Schizosaccharomyces pombe: one gene and its partners. The gene in region 2 interacts genetically with the main gene of each other region. Each region holds a gene or a part of one and is shown on either strand. Other genes may lie near its edges. The genes, in order: gmh2, cox19, psy2 and plb5.

Evidence for each region.
Region 1: mutations in cox19 (region 2) and gmh2 together harm fitness more than expected from each alone (negative genetic interaction), as found in Schizosaccharomyces pombe (one large-scale study listed by BioGRID).
Region 3: mutations in cox19 (region 2) and psy2 together harm fitness more than expected from each alone (negative genetic interaction), as found in Schizosaccharomyces pombe (one large-scale study listed by BioGRID).
Region 4: mutations in cox19 (region 2) and plb5 together harm fitness more than expected from each alone (negative genetic interaction), as found in Schizosaccharomyces pombe (one large-scale study listed by BioGRID).

The regions. Positions count from the first base shown.
Region 1 is NC_003424.3:167,207-171,858, forward strand, and holds gmh2 (alpha-1,2-galactosyltransferase Gmh2), read right to left. Parts: upstream 2,850-4,652; 5' UTR 2,645-2,849; coding exon 1,604-2,644; 3' UTR 560-1,603; downstream 1-559. Other genes in the region: alpha-1,3-galactosyltransferase Otg1, read right to left, coding at 1-329; ATP-dependent chromatin remodeller/ubiquitin-protein ligase E3 Rad8, read right to left, coding at 3,766-4,652.
Region 2 is NC_003421.2:567,918-571,686, forward strand, and holds cox19 (Cu chaperone), read right to left. Parts: upstream 1,776-3,769; 5' UTR 1,623-1,775; coding exon 1,607-1,622; intron 1,173-1,606; coding exon 1,104-1,172; intron 1,037-1,103; coding exon 783-1,036; 3' UTR 545-782; downstream 1-544. Other genes in the region: tyrosine--tRNA (Tyr) ligase Yrs1, read right to left, coding at 2,326-3,531. UniProt on the Schizosaccharomyces pombe protein: Required for the assembly of mitochondrial cytochrome c oxidase.
Region 3 is NC_003423.3:893,836-899,343, forward strand, and holds psy2 (serine/threonine protein phosphatase PP4 regulatory subunit 3 Psy2), read right to left. Parts: upstream 3,580-5,508; 5' UTR 3,299-3,579; coding exon 2,587-3,298; intron 2,529-2,586; coding exon 730-2,528; 3' UTR 537-729; downstream 1-536. Other genes in the region: squalene monooxygenase Erg1, read left to right, coding at 1-217; dynein-anchoring factor Num1, read left to right, coding at 4,240-5,508.
Region 4 is NC_003421.2:1,740,670-1,745,482, forward strand, and holds plb5 (phospholipase Plb5), read right to left. Parts: upstream 2,791-4,813; coding exon 919-2,790; 3' UTR 533-918; downstream 1-532.

The DNA of each region.
Region 1 (4,652 bases), on a different chromosome or scaffold from region 2:
ATATGGATAGGGTATTTACTTTTGGTAGTAGGATGATATTTCAATCGGTGAATTAAAACCCTAGTAGCGTTGAAGTAGTAATCCTCTTCAGTAGAAGGCATAGTAAACAAACTCATATACGTATATTTGCCAGGCTCTTCTTTTAAGACGGCATTATCATTTTCCTCAACAAAGTTGTTTTTTAATGAAGTAAGCCGGTCATTAAGGGTTTGCTTATAATCGTGTCCGTTAAACACTAAGGTTGTCATCACAATAATCAAAACCACAGAAAACAACAGGAATTTGTAACGCGGAAGAGATAAAAAATTTGAAAGTGAAATTCGAGACATGATAAGAGATTAATTCAACGAACCGCTGAAACAATAGAATTTGAGACACGTGAAATTTTCGAAAGCCTTAAAAAAATGAAAAAAGGCTCTAAAGATGACTCCCTTTATGAGGATGTTACCCTCTAAAATTTATTTATTTCTTTTACCCTTAAACGACTTGCGTTAACAACCCTTTAAAGAAAAAATATCCGAGATTTATGTTTCATCACGCGGGTTGCTCTGCATTTGTCAATTTATTACCAGCACGTTGTTTGTACCATGTGCCGCGCTATATTCAGTTACAGTATTGTAATTCAAATTGTGGAATTGCCTTTTACAAATCCTAACGCTTTGTTTTTTCACAATCATCTTAGTTTGTGTGTAATGGTGTCAACTTTCGAGCTATCTGGATGTTGAAAATTATGAGCTTAAGCATGTAATAGAAATTGACACTAATGAATTAATTTGGTGAAGTTGTTTCAAACAGTGAAAAATCTGACTGTTAGCTGGAAAAGTATTGGAAATACCATTTAGCTTATTGGTAAAGTAAATATTGTGTAAATTTAACGAAATATATTTTGTCGATAAATCTATTCAAATATTCTTTCTCCTTGACCTGATAGACCTCATTAATCGGAAAATGCTTCTAGGTTTGTAAAGACACAAGTGTAAACAGTGGGTGCACAGACGTAATGGAACCACCGTTAAAAAATACATCTTTTAGACTTAGCAACTAATCTATATCTTTATAAGGCCAAAAGCCAGTGTAATCAATATAAAATAAGGACATACCAATACTTTGTAGGGCCAAAAAACAAGATAAATAAAAACTTAGTATAATCCGACACGAATGATTCAATAAAACTTCTATCAGCATTTAACAGAAAATGGCAGCTGCGGTGAAATGCAAATTATTAAAAAGATTTATTAACGCCAAACTGTTATTCCAATCTTCAATATTGCATTGGTAAATTGCCAAAGCAAATTAGTTGAACCAACAGAAACAGCTTCAAAGTCAATGTGAAATATATACAATATATAACAATTATTGATGGACGATTGTGTAAAACAAAACTCCCAGATATCTCGCTATAAAAAACTAACCTGAAACTTTGATTGCTATGGCACAACCGCTATATTAATTAGGTATGTAAAGATTAAAAAATAGTAAACATTATTAGAGATTCAGATAAAGAAAGGAAGATTGACGGAAAATTATACGGCGCTTTGTTTATATATATAAAATTTTTTAAAACACAAACAAATTAAACAGACGGATATAATGAATAAGCAACTTAGTCAATCAAGGCGTAAAACTTTTGCCATAGTTCATCGCAGCGGTTTTCAACCCAACATCCAGCAAAGTGAATTACCAAATCACCTTTTTGCCATTCCATATTTTCCGGACCTTCGTGAAAAGCATTTATTTTTCTTTGAGGAATAAGGCCAACCAGCGAAGCAAGTTGTGAATGCTTAGAAATCAAATATCCAAGCATGTCTTGTTCATTATTGGCTTTCGCACATTCTGCAACAACAGGATCTGTCCAAATATCCAAAAACAAGGCAGTAGCAGGTGAATTACGGAACAAGATACTACCTGCGTTTAATCCATTGTGATCCTGTGAGATTATGACCATGAGATTTTCGATATCTTTTAAACTATAATTACTTGGTGTATAACGCAAATCCCCGTTAGCATTTATAGGCCGTTTAGTGAGGATGGTATTAGTAATTAAGGTCTTTTGCAAGTTCTCAGGTTTCAAAAAGGAGTCTTGAAGGGAAAGATGGGTATTAGTAATAATTGCATCCTGATCCAACAACCAGATCCATTCCGCTTTGGGGTATTTCTTCATAGTTTGTAAGACGGCGGGCATCTTGGACCAAACGGCGGGAATAGGGAGGCCAGTAACATTGACATACTCAAAGTTGTAGTTTTGTTTGGTACTATAGTCAACTCTGTTCTGTATAGCTTCTTCAAACGTATTAGCTCCATTATTGTAAGAAGTGTGTCCATCACTAACTAGTAATAAGACAATATTTTGACTGGCAGGATTTTGCTGAGGCTCTGACTCGTATGACGCCTCGTGGAATGTAGTGCTTGTGGCCACCAAATGAGAGTCTAACGGCGCCAACTCAAACGAGTGATTAACGGATGGAGTGCCAATAGCATCGGAGAGCATGGGTGCAATTTGCTGATCATACAACTGGTTAACCTTCGACACCAAATCAACGTCCACAAAATATATCAACGAGTATAGAAACGCGCCAGCAATCAAGCCGACCGTTAAAAATAAGAAAAAAAAACGACGTGGAATCCTGGATAACATAAGTGCCATCTTTAGGTTATAACAATTCTTCAGTAAATCAATTAGAAATAATGAAACAATAACTGGAAAACTTTTTTTGAAAAAAAGGCTTTTCCGAAATCTTAAACAACCACTAAATCAGATTGTATTAAGGTCTTATCGAAACGACCTATAAAATAACGAACGAAATCTCGAGATATAAAAATAAATCAAAGGGTTAGAGGTATATGCTGATGGTAAAAAAAAGCTTCCTGATTGTCTTAATGAGGCTGAATACGCGTTAAGCTTCCTTTGACTAGCTATCGTTAATTTTTTAAAGGCTTTGTTAAATATTTTATTAACGTCGGCTCCTTTGCCGATGGTAGAGACAACCGTAACCTTGCCTAAATTTTTATAACCCAGCAACCGGCACGTTACTTGCTTATAAAACTTTCTACGGGTAGCTATTAGAAAAATGAAATTTATGGAATGAAAACTTAGCTAAAATATTCGGATTTAATTTTGTGTCACTGATTTCATCAAAATATCTTGACCTTATTAAACAACTACTTCGACTTTTCAACAAAGAGAGAGGCTGACCAATATAGTTGAATTATACACATCGCTTTCTTTCTGTGACCGGATTTCCATCACAATCGCTACTACTATTTAACAAGGTTAACAATAATAAAAAAATCGAATAAAAGTTAACAATTATACCTATCTCTAATATACTGAACAAAACATTAGCCAGCCTTTACACTGCAGCAGCTAAAACTTATATTCCCTTGCCCATGATACTCAGCAACAACATCATGAATACAAAAAAGTAAGTCATCCAAGGAAATTTATGAGTTCAAAAAATGGAATAAAGTATTACACATTCACTACTTTAGATTGTATAGCTCCAGGGTAAACTGTCGTTCCTTAATACTTTTGTTACTTATGCACCGAATTCGACTATTTCGCATTCATTAGTGATAGACGTGAATCAACAAATCCAAGGGGTGTAGATAGTTTATAATTTATCTTGTAACGCAGTTTGTTTATCACATACTCTCTTAGAATTTGACAGTCATGACAACGACCACGGTAGCAATTGCATTTCATATGCATAATATGAAAATACTTTTTTTTTACGATAGCTTTTAATCGGCTTGGTGAAACCGTTGTTAATATTCAAACAACATTTTGATGTCTTCAATTGACTGAACCTGCTGCTTTCCTTCCGACATGCCCAGGGTCCCAGTAATAAAATTTTTGCGTTCTTGTATTTTGAGCATCCTTTCCTCAACAGTATCACGTACAATATATCTCGTCACAAATACAGGCTTTTCCTGTCCTAAACGATGAATACGATCGATGGCCTGTGCTTCCACTGACCAGCTCCACCATGGATCCATAATAAAAACATGGTTGGCACAAGTAAGGTTTAAACCAACCCCGCCTGCCTTTAAAGAGATAATCAGCACGTTAACATCAGGATCATTTCGAAATGTCTCTAAAGCCGTCGACCTCATTTGTTGTGACATGGTACCATCGAATCTAGCATACCCCATCTTCTCTGACTCGAGAACGTCTGCGATAATATCCAGGAATGTGGTAAACTGTGAAAAGATAACGACCTTTTCAGGTTCAGAACTATGAGTTAATTGACGCAATTGTCCTAAAAGGCCATTAAGTTTCACTGATTGTAGCCTATTCCAATATTTCCATTTTACTTCCTCACCGACTAAAAGCGTAGACTGTGTTCCGTTATTTTTGACAAAAAAAGGTTTATAGACATCTTGCTCATTGAAGGGTTGACGACATGTATGACAAAGCGGAGGAATTATGTTTCTTCTTTTTTGATACTGAATATGTTCTGACAAACAATCTCCGCAACAAGCATGCTTGCAGTTCAATAACAAGGGATTTTGAATTGGTTCATTACAACATATGGGACATTCCGTTATCAATGCTTCAAAAGACTTCAGTGTATCAATTTTTAAAATATCTGAAGGAATGGGCTTTCCAGTGACAACAAATTGATTAATTAAAGAATTAAATTGCTCAACCG
Region 2 (3,769 bases):
GCAACACAATTTCCTACACCCTGAGCCCATGTGAAATGATTCGGCAAAAAGTTATCAAAAAACGGTGAAGCAAAAGGCACTGATAGCACTTGAGCCGATATATCTGAAGAGCAACCTCAAGGCCCCCGATAATGGGCGGTTTAGAAAAGTAACATCAATTTATCAGTAAGTTTAGGGGGGCCAAAAAAAATAGATTCGGTTGTATTTAACCTTAAAATTAGCGAAAACAAAAGATCGACGTTAAAATATAGGTGAAAAGAGAAGTATAGATATACAAAAATATTCTACATACGAGTAAGCTTATCATTGACGAATTAAAATATCCCTTTTTTTCTTTCTTTTGATTGAGGAATCATAAAGGTTTATATCACTTCATCTGATTATTCCTCCTTCATTTAAAAACTATGTTAAAGGATACAATGTGAAAAAGGCAATGAGTTAAAGGAAAGCAATCATTTCAAATACAAGAAAATTATGGATTGTATAAAAAAAATTATAAAATTATAAACCAATCAACTAAATACCAGCCGCTTCCTGTTAAGCGTCAGCCATAAAAATGATTCATTTATAAATATCATTATTGCTTATTCCAATACAATACACTTTTATTAATGAGTATGCAGAACAGTCATTACCAAGTTAAATTAACAGTAAATAAATATCCTTCTGATGTTGGTAAGTGATCGACTATTCATAGTTGAAATAGTATTCAAGCAGTGATTCTTAACGACTTGCTTTTCCTTTTTTTTTTTTTTTTTTTTTTTATAATTTTATGTAGAGGATCACTCACCTCCTGTCTTATTATCAGAAGAAGAGGAATTCGAGTTATTATTACCATCATTGCTGCTGCTTAAAGAAGTAGATGTTGCATTTTCGTCGCCATGAAAACCTAAATTCTTCATATCATCTTTCCCAAACAAACCAGTGTCCATTCGACATTGCAGATATTTCTTTGCAAGCAAACGACATTCCTCCTGATTCTCTCGTTTCACTTTTATGCACTCCAAGTACTGTTTCATGACATGAGTGCATTCTCCTGCACGACAAGTATTAGTAAAAAAGGTAAATAACTACCAGAAAAAAATACTTTGACCATCACATACCAAAATGATCTAAAGGAAAACTTCCTCGTTCCGGAGGTTCACGAGTTGTCATGGGTAGAGATCCACCAGCTATCGAAATTCATTGTTAACATATAACTTTTTAAAAGCTCAATATATCATATAGGATTAAGAAATATGGAATGGGAAGTCTTTAACTTTGTCAGTTGAAAAATGACACTCATCAAATGCAGAATAAAAAGAATTAGAAAATCAATTCCACCAATGCAAGCATTCAACAACTCAAAGCTCCTCATTCTTTAAGATTGTGCCATTTAATTAACGGAATTAAAAATAGTTTCTTATATCAGTAGTAGCTCTGAGTAAAAAGTTGCATGCCAATCATAAGCAAACATAGATGGATAGATTCTATTCAATGAAACTGTTCTTTTCATAACATTCGATTTTATGTGATTTTGCAAGTACGTTTTGTTTAGAAGCAAAAAGGACTTGTTTTCCCAAACGATTTCAAATGCTGAAACATCTTTGAACGAACAATTACTTACCTGCTCCGAATGACATTTTTGAAACGTTAGACTGGTCAATGCTTATTATTTCAATGCAAAAAATTATTCAAGTTAATGAAATTATCTTTATCCAAGTTTAAGAAACGTATGAGTTAGAACAATGGATATGAGTCGTTTACTTCGAACCTAAGGCGGTGGATGAAGATGTAAAGCTACGTCGCACACAAGTTCAACTGTTTACAACCACATAAAGTTGATTTTTCGACTGAGTACTTCCTAATTGAAGTAGTCTGGTGGATTTGGTATTCTCACTTCATAATACGAACAAAATACAGTAAAATTATAGACTTGAAAGGCAAAGCTAAATTTACGCTATGGTAAAATTATCAATAACCAAAGTTAATTTCAATACGAAAGTTGAATTTGAACACAATAATTAAATGATGCATCCTTTCATAACCATGAATACCTGAAAGTACCATATTTCATCACCTATATCTCCCGAGCAAAGTGTATCAAAGTCTATAGTATCGATTATCATCTACATATACATGAATATTAAGTTACAGACATAGGAAATCGAGACAACTGAAAGCCAAAAATCAATGGTTTTATTTTGTAAAAAGAAAAAGATAGAAGTATACAAACGATGAAATATATATCCAGAAATATAAAACACTTCTTCAACAACCAAAGGAGCTATCAAAAACGATCGTCTAACGTCAGGACTCACATTAGCAAGCTTTTGAAAAGTATGTTTAATCATCCAGATTCAATTTTTTGAATGACTCAGCAGTCTGACTTTCCGTTGCTGGGGCAGCACCGGATTCAGCAGCAATTGAAGCATTAGTAGTTCCAGCCTTCTTTGCATTCTTTTTATCTTGTTTTTTCTGTTTCATGGCCTTCTTCAAATCCTTGGGATCAGGATAGGCAGCCTTCAAAATACTATCCAAGTCAGGATATTGCTTCAACTGCTCTTGGACACCAGCCAACAAAGTATTGACAGATGACTCAAGACCAAGCTTCAAATCTTGGGGTGAAAGAGTCAGGTCCTTGTATGCCTTTTCAACCTCTTCATAAGTTTTGAAAACCATTCTTCCACCAAATTGCTCTGGACGATCAATGACAAATTCAGTTTCGCCACGAAGTTCCATTGCAGGGAAACTGACGTATTTCAAGAAAGCCAAACAACCATTTTCCTCCACAACACCAGGCTCGCAAAAAGCTGAACGGATTTTCTTGTTTACAGTTTTGGGATCATCTAAGATATCAATTTTGGCGTTGGCAGCGGCAGAGGAAGACATTTTACCACCAGCAAGACTGGGCACCATAGGGTTCATTAAATGGCCACGCTTCTTGTATCCCAAAACTGGTAACACCTCTTCAGCCATAACGAAAATTTTACGTTGGTCAACACCACCGAATTGAACATCAACACCAAGGTATTGTTCATCAAGAGCTTGCATACCTGGATAGATCAAGCTTGACAATAGAGGACTAGCGACCTGCTTGACAACTTCTGCACCGGCACGACGAGCAGTGTGCTCTGTCGTAGATGCAGCAAGTCGAAAGTTATCAAGGGTATAATCCTCCTTCAGCTGATAGCTGGAGCCAATGACAAAACGAAGCTTCTCAATGGGAATATTCAACGATTTTAGAATAGATTTGACAATAATTTCATAATAACGAACACGGTGTTGAACGAGTTCCATCGGCGCCTTCATGTTATCCAAAAAAGCATGGACATCGGCTAAAAGAACAGTAACATGTACACCGGCCTTTAAAAAATCAGCCAACTTCATCATTGGCACAAAATAACCACAATGAGGACGGCCAGTAGGTGCACTGCCCCAGTACAAGCTGATATCGCGTTCATTCAAAATTTCGCGAATCATTTTGGCGCCAAGCACCTCTTGAAGATTACGAGTAATCAACTCATATTTTTCATCCGGAGTAAGCGACATCTTGCTTGATATCCAACGTTAAATGGAACTCACAAAAATTGGTGATGTTGGTTAACGATGTTTTCGATTGCAATCATGGACTGCGATCAACGTTCGGAATTGCCGCGGCACCGTGACTGCAACCCGAACAACAAATTATTCAGACAAAATTATTAACCAAGGTTTAATAAATAATTTGGTTTAATTATGTGCAATTACTAATAAAATATCGTTTAAAAAATGTTTATGTTATCAAAAC
Region 3 (5,508 bases), on a different chromosome or scaffold from region 2:
TTGTGTTGAAGGTCCCATTCGTTTATTAGGCGGTTTAGACCATAGCCCTTCTCATCTTATCGGCCACTTCTATGCCGTCTGTCTCTATGGTATTTACCAATATGTCTTGTCTGGTCCTGCTTTGCTTATGCCCGTCCGTATCATCGAATCCTTATTGATTTTCTTACAAGCTTCGCTAGTAATTATCCCTTATATCCTTAGCGAAATGTCATCCTAAGTTTGCAGAATCAGTTCATTAAAATTAAATTATTTTTGATTTATGAATTGGTTGATTATGATTGTCTTGGCAATCACTGATAGCTATTTGGTTTTTGCCTTGTTTGGTACGTCGTTGTTTTTAAAGAAATAGTTTTAGATAGAGTTGGGTTCAAGTTTGTAATGACTTCACACTCTTTTTGTTTATTATATAAATCCCTCTGTTTTTCAAGAGTTATAAATTGCCGTTTTAATATAAAATACTTTTTTTTAATTTTTAAGCCTACTAAGTACAATTATTCGTCAGCGTTAAGTAAACAATTATCCCGAGACTACAAGACCACGATAGTAACATGAAAATTGGTATTTATTATTTTAAAAGTCCCTTAATGAACAACCCAAATCGTTTATATTATACAGATGAGTTTTCAAAACAATGATAAACCCGGGAACAAAAATACGATGTCCATATGATGATTCACTTGCATTACAATCTTCTAGAGTTTTTGGAGCTTCCCTTTTTATGTTCATCTTCTAGGAAGCGTAGCCATTCTGGGCAGAACTTGAATCGATAGAGAGTCTCTTTTTTGGTGATTCATCATCAGCTTGCTGATCATCAACTTGGAAATCCGATTTCCTTTTAGAATAACGGGTGTTTGAAACATTAATACCTGAAGATTCTGCAGAGGTATCATAAACTGCAGACTCAAGGAAATAACGATCCTCTAATATAGGTTGCTTTGGCTGCTCGCAACTGTCTTCAATATTTAGCTCAGCAGGGGCTATAGAATCAAGAACAGTACGTTGTCCAACTTTTTCTGATAATTCAGTATCGTTTTCAATAGAAAAATCTTGCTGTATTTCCCAATCTTTGGATACGTCGTCTCCAACACGTTGGTTATTATTGGAGGCACCGTCAAATTCATAACTATTTGATTCATGAGTCCCAACAGTTTTAGGGCTTCTTGAGTCAGAGCTTAAGCCATCTATTATATTTAAAAGCTCAGAAAAAGTACTGAGATTATTTAAAGATTCCAGCTGTGGTCGATAGTTTTTATTGAGATAATCCAGTGTATCTTCAGATCCCTCGGATCTTAAAAATTCAAAAAACTCTAAAGCAGCTGAGTTGACTAAATTAGTTTGGTCTTTGACCTTTAACATCAAGTCCAGAACTTTTCCGTATGTGTCAGTTTCTAACATGATCAAGGACATTTCTGACTGACGAGCGGCCAAACAAGAGCGAATAAATCTAAGGGCGCTCAAAACAACATATTTTCTATCGCTGTATAGTAATAGAGCCACTTTTGATGTAAGGGTTTTATATGTATCAAAACGACGAGACCAATAATCGTGTATACGAAAAAAATAACAAAAAAGCTCACACAAATGCATATACATATCAAGCTTTTTAACATCTAAACTCGATACATTTTCCAGCTCCAATAAAGGAGCAGCAAGCATATTAAAAGAGTTATCATAAAAATTTTCAATAAAATTAATTCCAATAATGTTATCGGTTTTATTTCGAACATTTCCATCAGCATTTCTGTAAGGATTATTGTATGCATAGCTACCAGGTAAACTTAGTAGCATTTTAAAAGCTTCAGAAATTTGAGCAAGTACTCCAGGATTTGATTCTTTATGCAAAATGTTAATTAAATTGGAAAGCAACGAATGTTGGGAAACGTGAGCATTGCTCAATGAAGAAGAAGCGTCCTTGCGATCTTGATCAAACTTTTGCCAAACGATGGCAGGTTCATGATCAATAATAGACACCAAAATATCGGAACCAGCATTTCGAACGGAATTGTTCTCATGTGACATTGCATAATCCAAAGCTTTCAGAAGATTAAATTTAACGAAAGTAGCAAATAATGCAGAGCAGGACTGGAATTGTAGCCCTTTAGCGATGTTGCAAACCTGCTGAATAAAGAATATACCGTCTTGCTTGCGTTGATCATCCTCGCCTTCATTCACATAAATGCTAAACAGTTCATGTAAAAATTTTTCATTTGTTTGAAGGTATTGAATAATATCAGCCTGGTTAAAGAAGATAAATGAATTTAGCACCGAAAAGGAGGGTTCGTCAACAATCCTTGAAACGACAACATCCCTTAGATACTGAAGCTTAAATGTCTGGTGAATTTTTGCAAGAATCCGTGGATCCTGAATGGGAACCACCTGCTTAAACTTTTTGGAATCCATTAAATATTCCCGATGGTTCGCTTTGATATTGGGGAATTCCGGATCGTATTCGAGAATACCAGCTACACACATTAGCTTTTCATCATTAGAGAACAACGATTCGAGTAAAGGGGCGTCGTTCAATTGCACTGACAGCGATTAGCAAGGATTTAACGAATCTAAAAAGTATAAAGTAGATTAACATACCAAAGCTTTTTATTATGGAACACAATCGATGAAGGTCATCTGTATTCTCTAGATCCTCACACAGAGGAAAAAGTTCAATAAGTCTATCAATATAATTTTCATTTGAAACATAACGAACCAAACTATCTCTTGATTGAATAGACTGCATATATCCATATACTGCTTCTTCAATTTCTTTTAAATTAGCAAGCTCTGGGGCTGGAAGATCGACCGTGTTTAGGTAGTTTTCATTAAGCGCCCCCTCATCCGTCAATATATCATCGTTGGAGTAACTTCTAGTTACCGATGATATTGCCTTTTGAACATTTGCTAAAAACATCCACATGTCTATACAACCGCTAGATTCTTGAAAGCTTAAAGCAAGATCAGTACCATTCAATTCTTGCCAGACTATGAGAGTTTCTTCTTGACGGCTGTATATATCTTCCGCAATCAATTGTGTTTTCAAAAGGATGGTTTCATTATCAGCTTCTGAACGCACAATGAAATAAGCCAACGGTCCCTCTATTTTTCCATCGCAATAACCGGTGCCACAGTCTACCCAGTTTTCATCTTCCATTTCGTACACTTTTACACGTCTGGGAATCGATGGCACTTCGATCTTCTGCAATGCAGCTGCAATTGCTTCGTCTAATTCCTCTTCTTCATTTTCTCCATCTGAAATTTCATCAATATTATTATTTAAATCTTCCTCTTCCTTCGTAGAATCCATTTCTACGGCGGATTAAGGGTAGACGTCAGCTTCGAATTTACGACGTTGGCGTTCGTCACCAAATTTTCAAAAGTGAAGACGAAATTCAAACGTGGTGGTGAATGAATGCAATACCGTAGATTGCACCAAGATTGTAATTATTAATAAATGTATTTCTCATTAAATGGCAATGCCGCTTTACTTAATTATTTGGTTTGCCTAAAATATAACAAATAGATTTGTTAAGCAGTGTACTATGTATATTTCACGTGCATAATTTTGAAGTGTTATGGCAGAATTATGTTCTTTATAGAGTCAAATAACTATTATATACGTGATCGTGGTGCTTTCAGTCACTATTTTTCATTGTAATTCGGTATCTGTTTACAACAATATCATTAACGGACGTTATGCATTTTAACGATGAGTACTTCACCGCTCGGTGTATATGCTGTAATCAATCCTTATATCGAGTTGTGTTTTAAACGTTTTATACTGTCTACAATTAGCATTTAAATCTTTTCGAAATAGTAAATAAACTAAATATGAATATAAATAAAGTTAATTATTGTCTAAACACATGTGTAGCCTCGTCAAATCAATTTTTTGCAAGTCAATCATGAGGCTCAGGGTACATTTGTAAAGTAATAGTTAATTTTTAAGTACAAACTAATGGTATTTATACCGATATATATATTGAAAGCTGCTAAAGCTTCGCTAGATATTCAAGTACTCTAGCAAATGCATCAATATAAATACAGTTTTTTTGCTTTTACTAAGTTTTATTGTTAAAGCGTAATACGAGAAATTTGCCAAATGAGAACACGAATTGAATTGATATAATTCCAGAAATAAAAATTATGTATTCAAGACGATGACTGTTGCGATATGCATGCTTACGAGTTTATCGATATATAAAAGACAAAGAGAGTTGAGCTTACCAAAACATATACTGATCCTTCATGGAGAAAAAACAAGATAACGAGGTGGAATTATATTCAATTGATTTAAAAAATAGAAATGAAAGTGCAAAAATAAAGCTTGCTTATGCGAAAGCGTTAGAGGAAAGCATTCTTTGTGAAACACGAAAAATCGAACAAGAAATTAAAGACCAAGTGGTTCAAAAGGAAAATAAAACATATTTTAATAACAAATTTGATAATCGATATAAATTACGCGACTTGGAAAAAAATTTAGCGGAGGAGGAGGTGAGAATTACGGAGATGCTTACTATTCAACGTCAAGACATTGCAATTGAAAGAAGGAAGAACACAAATTGCTTCAGTGAGTCTTCTCAAGTAGATCAATATTCAGTTACTGAAACCAATCTACAATATGCTACTAACATTGGCTTAAACCTTCTGCAACAGTTGCGGTATTTAAGGCTGCAACTGTCAGAGAAAGAAGATTTGCATAAAAAGTTGTCAGTGGATAATGCCCATTTAATCAAGCAACTTGATCTACTTTCTTCAAACATGAAAACACTTATGAAAGAGAAGACTAAGGTGCAAGGACAAAGGGATTTGCTTGAACAAAGACTACAAGGATTAATGAAAAAATTGACAGAAGTAGAGTCTTTGACCGTTTCACTTAACGATGAGAAGAACAAACTGACATTGGAATTAACAAATTTAAGAATTTGCCTTCACGAGCTTCAACTGAATGCCGAAAAAGGCGAAACTATAGATGAAAGTGAAGATTCTAAAAATACTTTGGTAACTGAGGATGAAAACGACGATTCTGTATTTTTGGAGTCTTCCTCGGATAAGTATTTTGATAGTTCATCTTTTGATGCGGAGCAAGAAGAGAAACACGATTTTCCAATAGATCCTTTTTTGTCGTTGGAATCCAATGTACAAACTTCGGTATCTCAATCATCGGCCGTTCTCAAATCCATCAATTTAGCAAAACAGGAGTTAGTGAGTGTAAATCATTTGGTAGCTGACGATACTAAAACACCGTCTCCAAATTTATCATCGGAAATAATTGAAAACACAAAAGCTGACATAAAGAAATCAATCAGGTCTCTGAACAAGGCAGTATCACCAGAAAACTCTATAGACATCGAAGATGAAACCGACAGAGATGATGAGTTTATTTGCTTCCTTTTGTCTTATCAGCAACTACAAAAGGCGCTGAAAAGTAACTTGGGCCTTTTTCAGCTTTCTTGCTTGTACCCACTTTCTCTGAATCATCTTATTCAGTCATTCTTTCAATCTCTCACCTCTCAA
Region 4 (4,813 bases), 1.2 Mb from region 2:
TTAATAAAATACATGCGCGAATTAATTGCTATAATTGCGACAAACGAAACAGCGAAATCAAGAATTTTCACTCTGGAGCCCAATTTCAGCCGTTCAACATAAAAAACGAGCAATTTCTTTCAAAGAAGACTTCTCTCTTTAATAATAGTAGGTAAAAGTTAAAATTCGAAAACTCATTTTCAAAATGCAATTGCTTCTGACACATTTATTTTGTCACTGCCCTTTTTATTTACCCTAACTTAGCTTTCCTTAAAACGTTTTTGAGAAGCAAACGTTGTAGTATAATTATAATGTCAGCTACGCAGTTTGGTATCTGGTTTAACGATATATAGCACTGCGGCGAGATTTCTAGGGATTTACAACATAGCGGTATGCGCTTTGTTAACTAATAATATTATATTTATTGTTATAAAAAGTCTAGTAGTATCGGTCACCGATATAGCCAATAACTGAACTGAGGAATGAGGTTCAGTGGTAGCTCTATTTATATTTTTCTCTAGTTGCTACCAATGTGTAACTTGTGTAGATAGATGGACAAACAGCTACAATCATCAATAAACTAATGTTATGTATATTTTAGCATGACATATAGTGCTACGCAACGTAGTATATCGTAGCGTGCTGGACTACTGCTGACACAGTATTTGAGTTGAAACATTTCTGCAAAGGTTACATAAATTAGTGTCATTTAGAGCTTAGGAATTCAAATTCGATGGTGTTAATGGCTTCTTGAAGCTTTTTTCATTCCTATATTTATTCACTATATCTTCCTTCTCGTTGTTTATGAGCAATAAGTAAAGAGCCGACTTTTGCTGGTTCTTAGATTAGTGAATATATGAACATTAGTGTTTCAATGCTTTACGCTCTATGCTACCATGGAAAAGATCGAACAAAATGGATTGTCGTGAGCGTTGCATACTAAATCTTGGCTGACAGAACTGTAGGTGCATATGTAGTAACGGTCGTGCTTGCAATTGTTCCATTCCAACAGTATTGATTAAAGCAAGAAGCACATTGACTTGGAGTCGACATGTTTTTGCGTTCCAAGGAACGTTGAACGAGAGCGCATGCAACGCAGACAGCAAATGAATCACTGTTATTTTGGGTAGCAGCAACAGCGGCATTTTCAATCATTCCACTGGACAAAGTATCTTCCAGTTGAACAGTGTAGGTAGTGACATTTGCATACATAGTCCAAGGATAGTTGGGGAAGTAAACTACAAGAGGAGGAGTATCGTCATTAACGGTATGGTTTCCGGCTGTGGTGTTTCTACCGTCGCAACCGAAGAAAGTTGGATGAGTGTTCAAACCAAGAGCCAAAAATGTGTTGGTATCAGGAATATATGGGAAACCACGAACGCCAGAGGAGTTAGTGGCTAAAACTCTTTCATATGTAGAAACTAGGGACGATCCATCTGGCCATCCACTCGTTGCGCTTTGATAACCCCCGTCAATCGCAAAAATAACATCTACGTCTCTTTGTGGATGAAGCAAGGGCCAAAAGGGAATACCTTCACTATCTGAGCCACCGTCTATTAATTCAATAATGGGATACGGCTCCAAGGGATTGGTAGTGGTTGTATTGGAAGCATTTCCATAACCTTGGTAAGGGTTGGGATAAAGACCTACATCCAATTGATCTTCGGCAAGCATTTCGAGGAAACTAAGGACAGCATTGTTAAAGGTATTATTACTAGCGGTGAGTGATGCATTTGTCGCAGGAAGGATACCGCTAAAAACATTTGAAGAGGTACCCATGAGGAAACCAGCGTTGTCGAAATTACGCACACAGGATTCATTAAGAGGAATGCCATTAATAAGGTGTGTACCTGTATACTCCATGGGTATAAATGATTCCACCCCAGTGTCCCAAGTACCAAATTCGATGGGTGTAAATTCAAAGACAGTGTCGTTCAAAGGGATTACGGTTTCACCCTCTATGACATTATCAGCAATGATGATGGGAAAGGGAAATTCACCATCCTGGAACCACGTTTCATTTGTTACACTAGAGAATGTAGTATTAGCACCTCCAGTCAAAGGATTGACAAGCTTAAGAGCCAAAGCACGGCCCCAAAGGTCAGTAATGGAGACATTGAATCCAGCATTCTTCTTTTGCAGAACTTGCTCAAACCACTCTTGGTAAATATAAAAGTTCTCAAAAGCGTCGTCATAGGGAGCGAAGAGACTGTGGTCCAGGTTCCAAACGTCGTCGTGCAAGAAAGTAATATTGGCAAAGTTGTTAACCGCAACAGATCCCACAAGCCAAGAGCCACCAGAAAGACCAGTAAGGTACATGGAAGATTGAAGAATACCACCAAGAGACGTAGTGTTACCATTTCTAGCATCAAATGCATTAATAGCGCCGGCTCCCGTTAACATGGCAGGAAATCCACCGCCAGAGATTGCAATTCCCAAACGAGGGCCATCTGTGTCATTCAGCACACTTTTTGTATCGATTTTTAAGCCGGTTTTTGAAATAAAGCTTTCCAATGCACTGTTAACCTTTGAGACACGTTTGTCAACAAATTCTTGTTCACCAGTACTAAGGCCATCGGAGGCAGGTCGAAGCAGAGAGCCACTAGGGCAAGCAACAGTATAAGGCGCATACGATGGGCTTGTGCTACGCTTGGAAAGGGGTATAGAGTTTGCTGGCTTATCAACGTTATCGGGTTTCAATAATCCGATTAGTTCTGGGTCTGAAACGTCTACTTCATCGATACGAGAAGGAAGGCCCAAGGCCGGCAAAAGCTGGAGAGCGAGAAATAATCCAAAGGAAGATAATTTCATGTTTAAAAAAAAATAAAATAAAAATTAAAAAAGCAAGGTTGGTTTAATAAAGGATAAAAGGATAGAATACGGTCAATGATTCGTTTTTAAAAAAAGTTCGAATTTTTCAATTTTCTCTGAATCCAAAAAAAGCAAGAGAGTGATTAACAAACAGCGAGTTTCTAAAGTCTGAATTTTTTGAAATTTTCTGAGAATGAAAAAAATCAAGACAATGAAAGTAATCAATTAAAGAGCTTTCAATTGTCAATTCCCAATCTAGTAAGTTCAACGAAAAATATTTAGATATCTAGAGAGTCCGTCGAGCTACAATGTCAATAAAAGCAAATTAAGCATTTGATGGAGCGGTTCGGCAAGCGATGAGCTTAAACTATATTTCCATCAGGACACCTAGTTTTGTCGAAAAGGTTGGGATGAGACAGGATTTCGACATATTTCCAAGAAAATAATATCATGTTCTTTTTTATGATTTAACCTATCTTTTTCCATTGAAATAAAAAAATCCCAATTCAAATTTTCAAGTTGGGATTTTGCTTACCCACCGTCCGTTTTAGGAATAGACAGACGTTTTTGCTCATTTCCTTGCCAAACACAAACCGGCCTTGCCAACTTTCTAGGCATTTGTAAATTGCTTGCTTACCTACACAGATCACACTAAAGAAGGATGAATCACTGATTGTTTGTTTTAACGGGATTTACCGATTCAATCACTAAAGTTGCAACCTTTATTCATTTATTCCCAAGTGCTATATATATAATATATATAGGCTTTTGAGGATGAACTCACTTGTAGACTCACTTTTCGCATGACCCACGTTTCTCATGATCTGCTTACCTTGATCCGCAATTCGGCGTGGACTAGAAGGAACTCCGAAGATGCCATCTATGATGTTAACGATTTTCTATATGTAGCACCGTGAGATTATGAAATGGTGGTCATATTACTAAGTCTTTAGATGCCAGTTGGAGTTGGATTGCCTAGTTATCATTAGCATTCATGGGTACCATTTATGCCCTATTCAATAAATATTTCAGCGATTCTATAATGGAATATTTAGATCAACCTAGGCTCAGCTTTAAATGACGGGATGAATATCAACGGCTAAATTTATAAACGGATACCAACCCGATTGCTGCGAACTCACGGATGTAAAATTGTCTGGTAATGCAAATCATCGACAAGTCCATGATGAAACGACTTTCTATTTTTTTTTTACTTCTATTAACGTCATTTAATGTCCAACTCTTCTAGGAAATCCCCAAATTCGAATATTCAATAAGGTAATGGGGTGCGATGTTTTTAGTTGATTCACATTGGAAATATTTCAATTCGAGATATGAAAAACCATTGATAGAAACAGATAGAGTAGAAGTTATTGCTTGATGCAACAAAATTTGAAGATTTGTTAATTTACAGATTTGCTATTCTACAAAGTCTCATCCCTACAAGCAGAAATGGATCTGAATAGCGATCGCTTTAGTTAGGTCATAAGATCGGCAGTCTAAACGTTGACCGCACATGGCTACATTGTAGCCTTTATATTCTTTCTTTCTATTCCAGTTATAAGCTGATACAGTAGATCTTGAATTTCATCAGTTTGTCAAAATATCTCTCTCGTTTTATCATACTTTACAAACCCAAAACACAAACATAAGAAACTGCACTGAACTAAATGCAAAGCTATAAGGTATTGTAACAAGCTCACAATGTGATATATAACCATTTCGACAGAGTTATTAAGAGATACATTATTTTACACTTTGTTTAAGAGTTCCCGTGTATCCAGACTGTATACCTCCTTTGCTTAGTTCCCGTGTCTAAGGAGCTATAACAAAGAGTTTTGTAAACCTAGATTATGCACTGGCTTGTACGTCTTAAATAAATTTAAAGAACTACTGAAGTGTCATCGGTATGTGATGAATCCTTAGCGTAGCAAAGGCAGTTGAGGTATTAAGGTCAACGAATACTGTATTATAGTAAGTTTCGCAATACAAGTTAAGCAACAACTCGTCCAAAATCACAAAT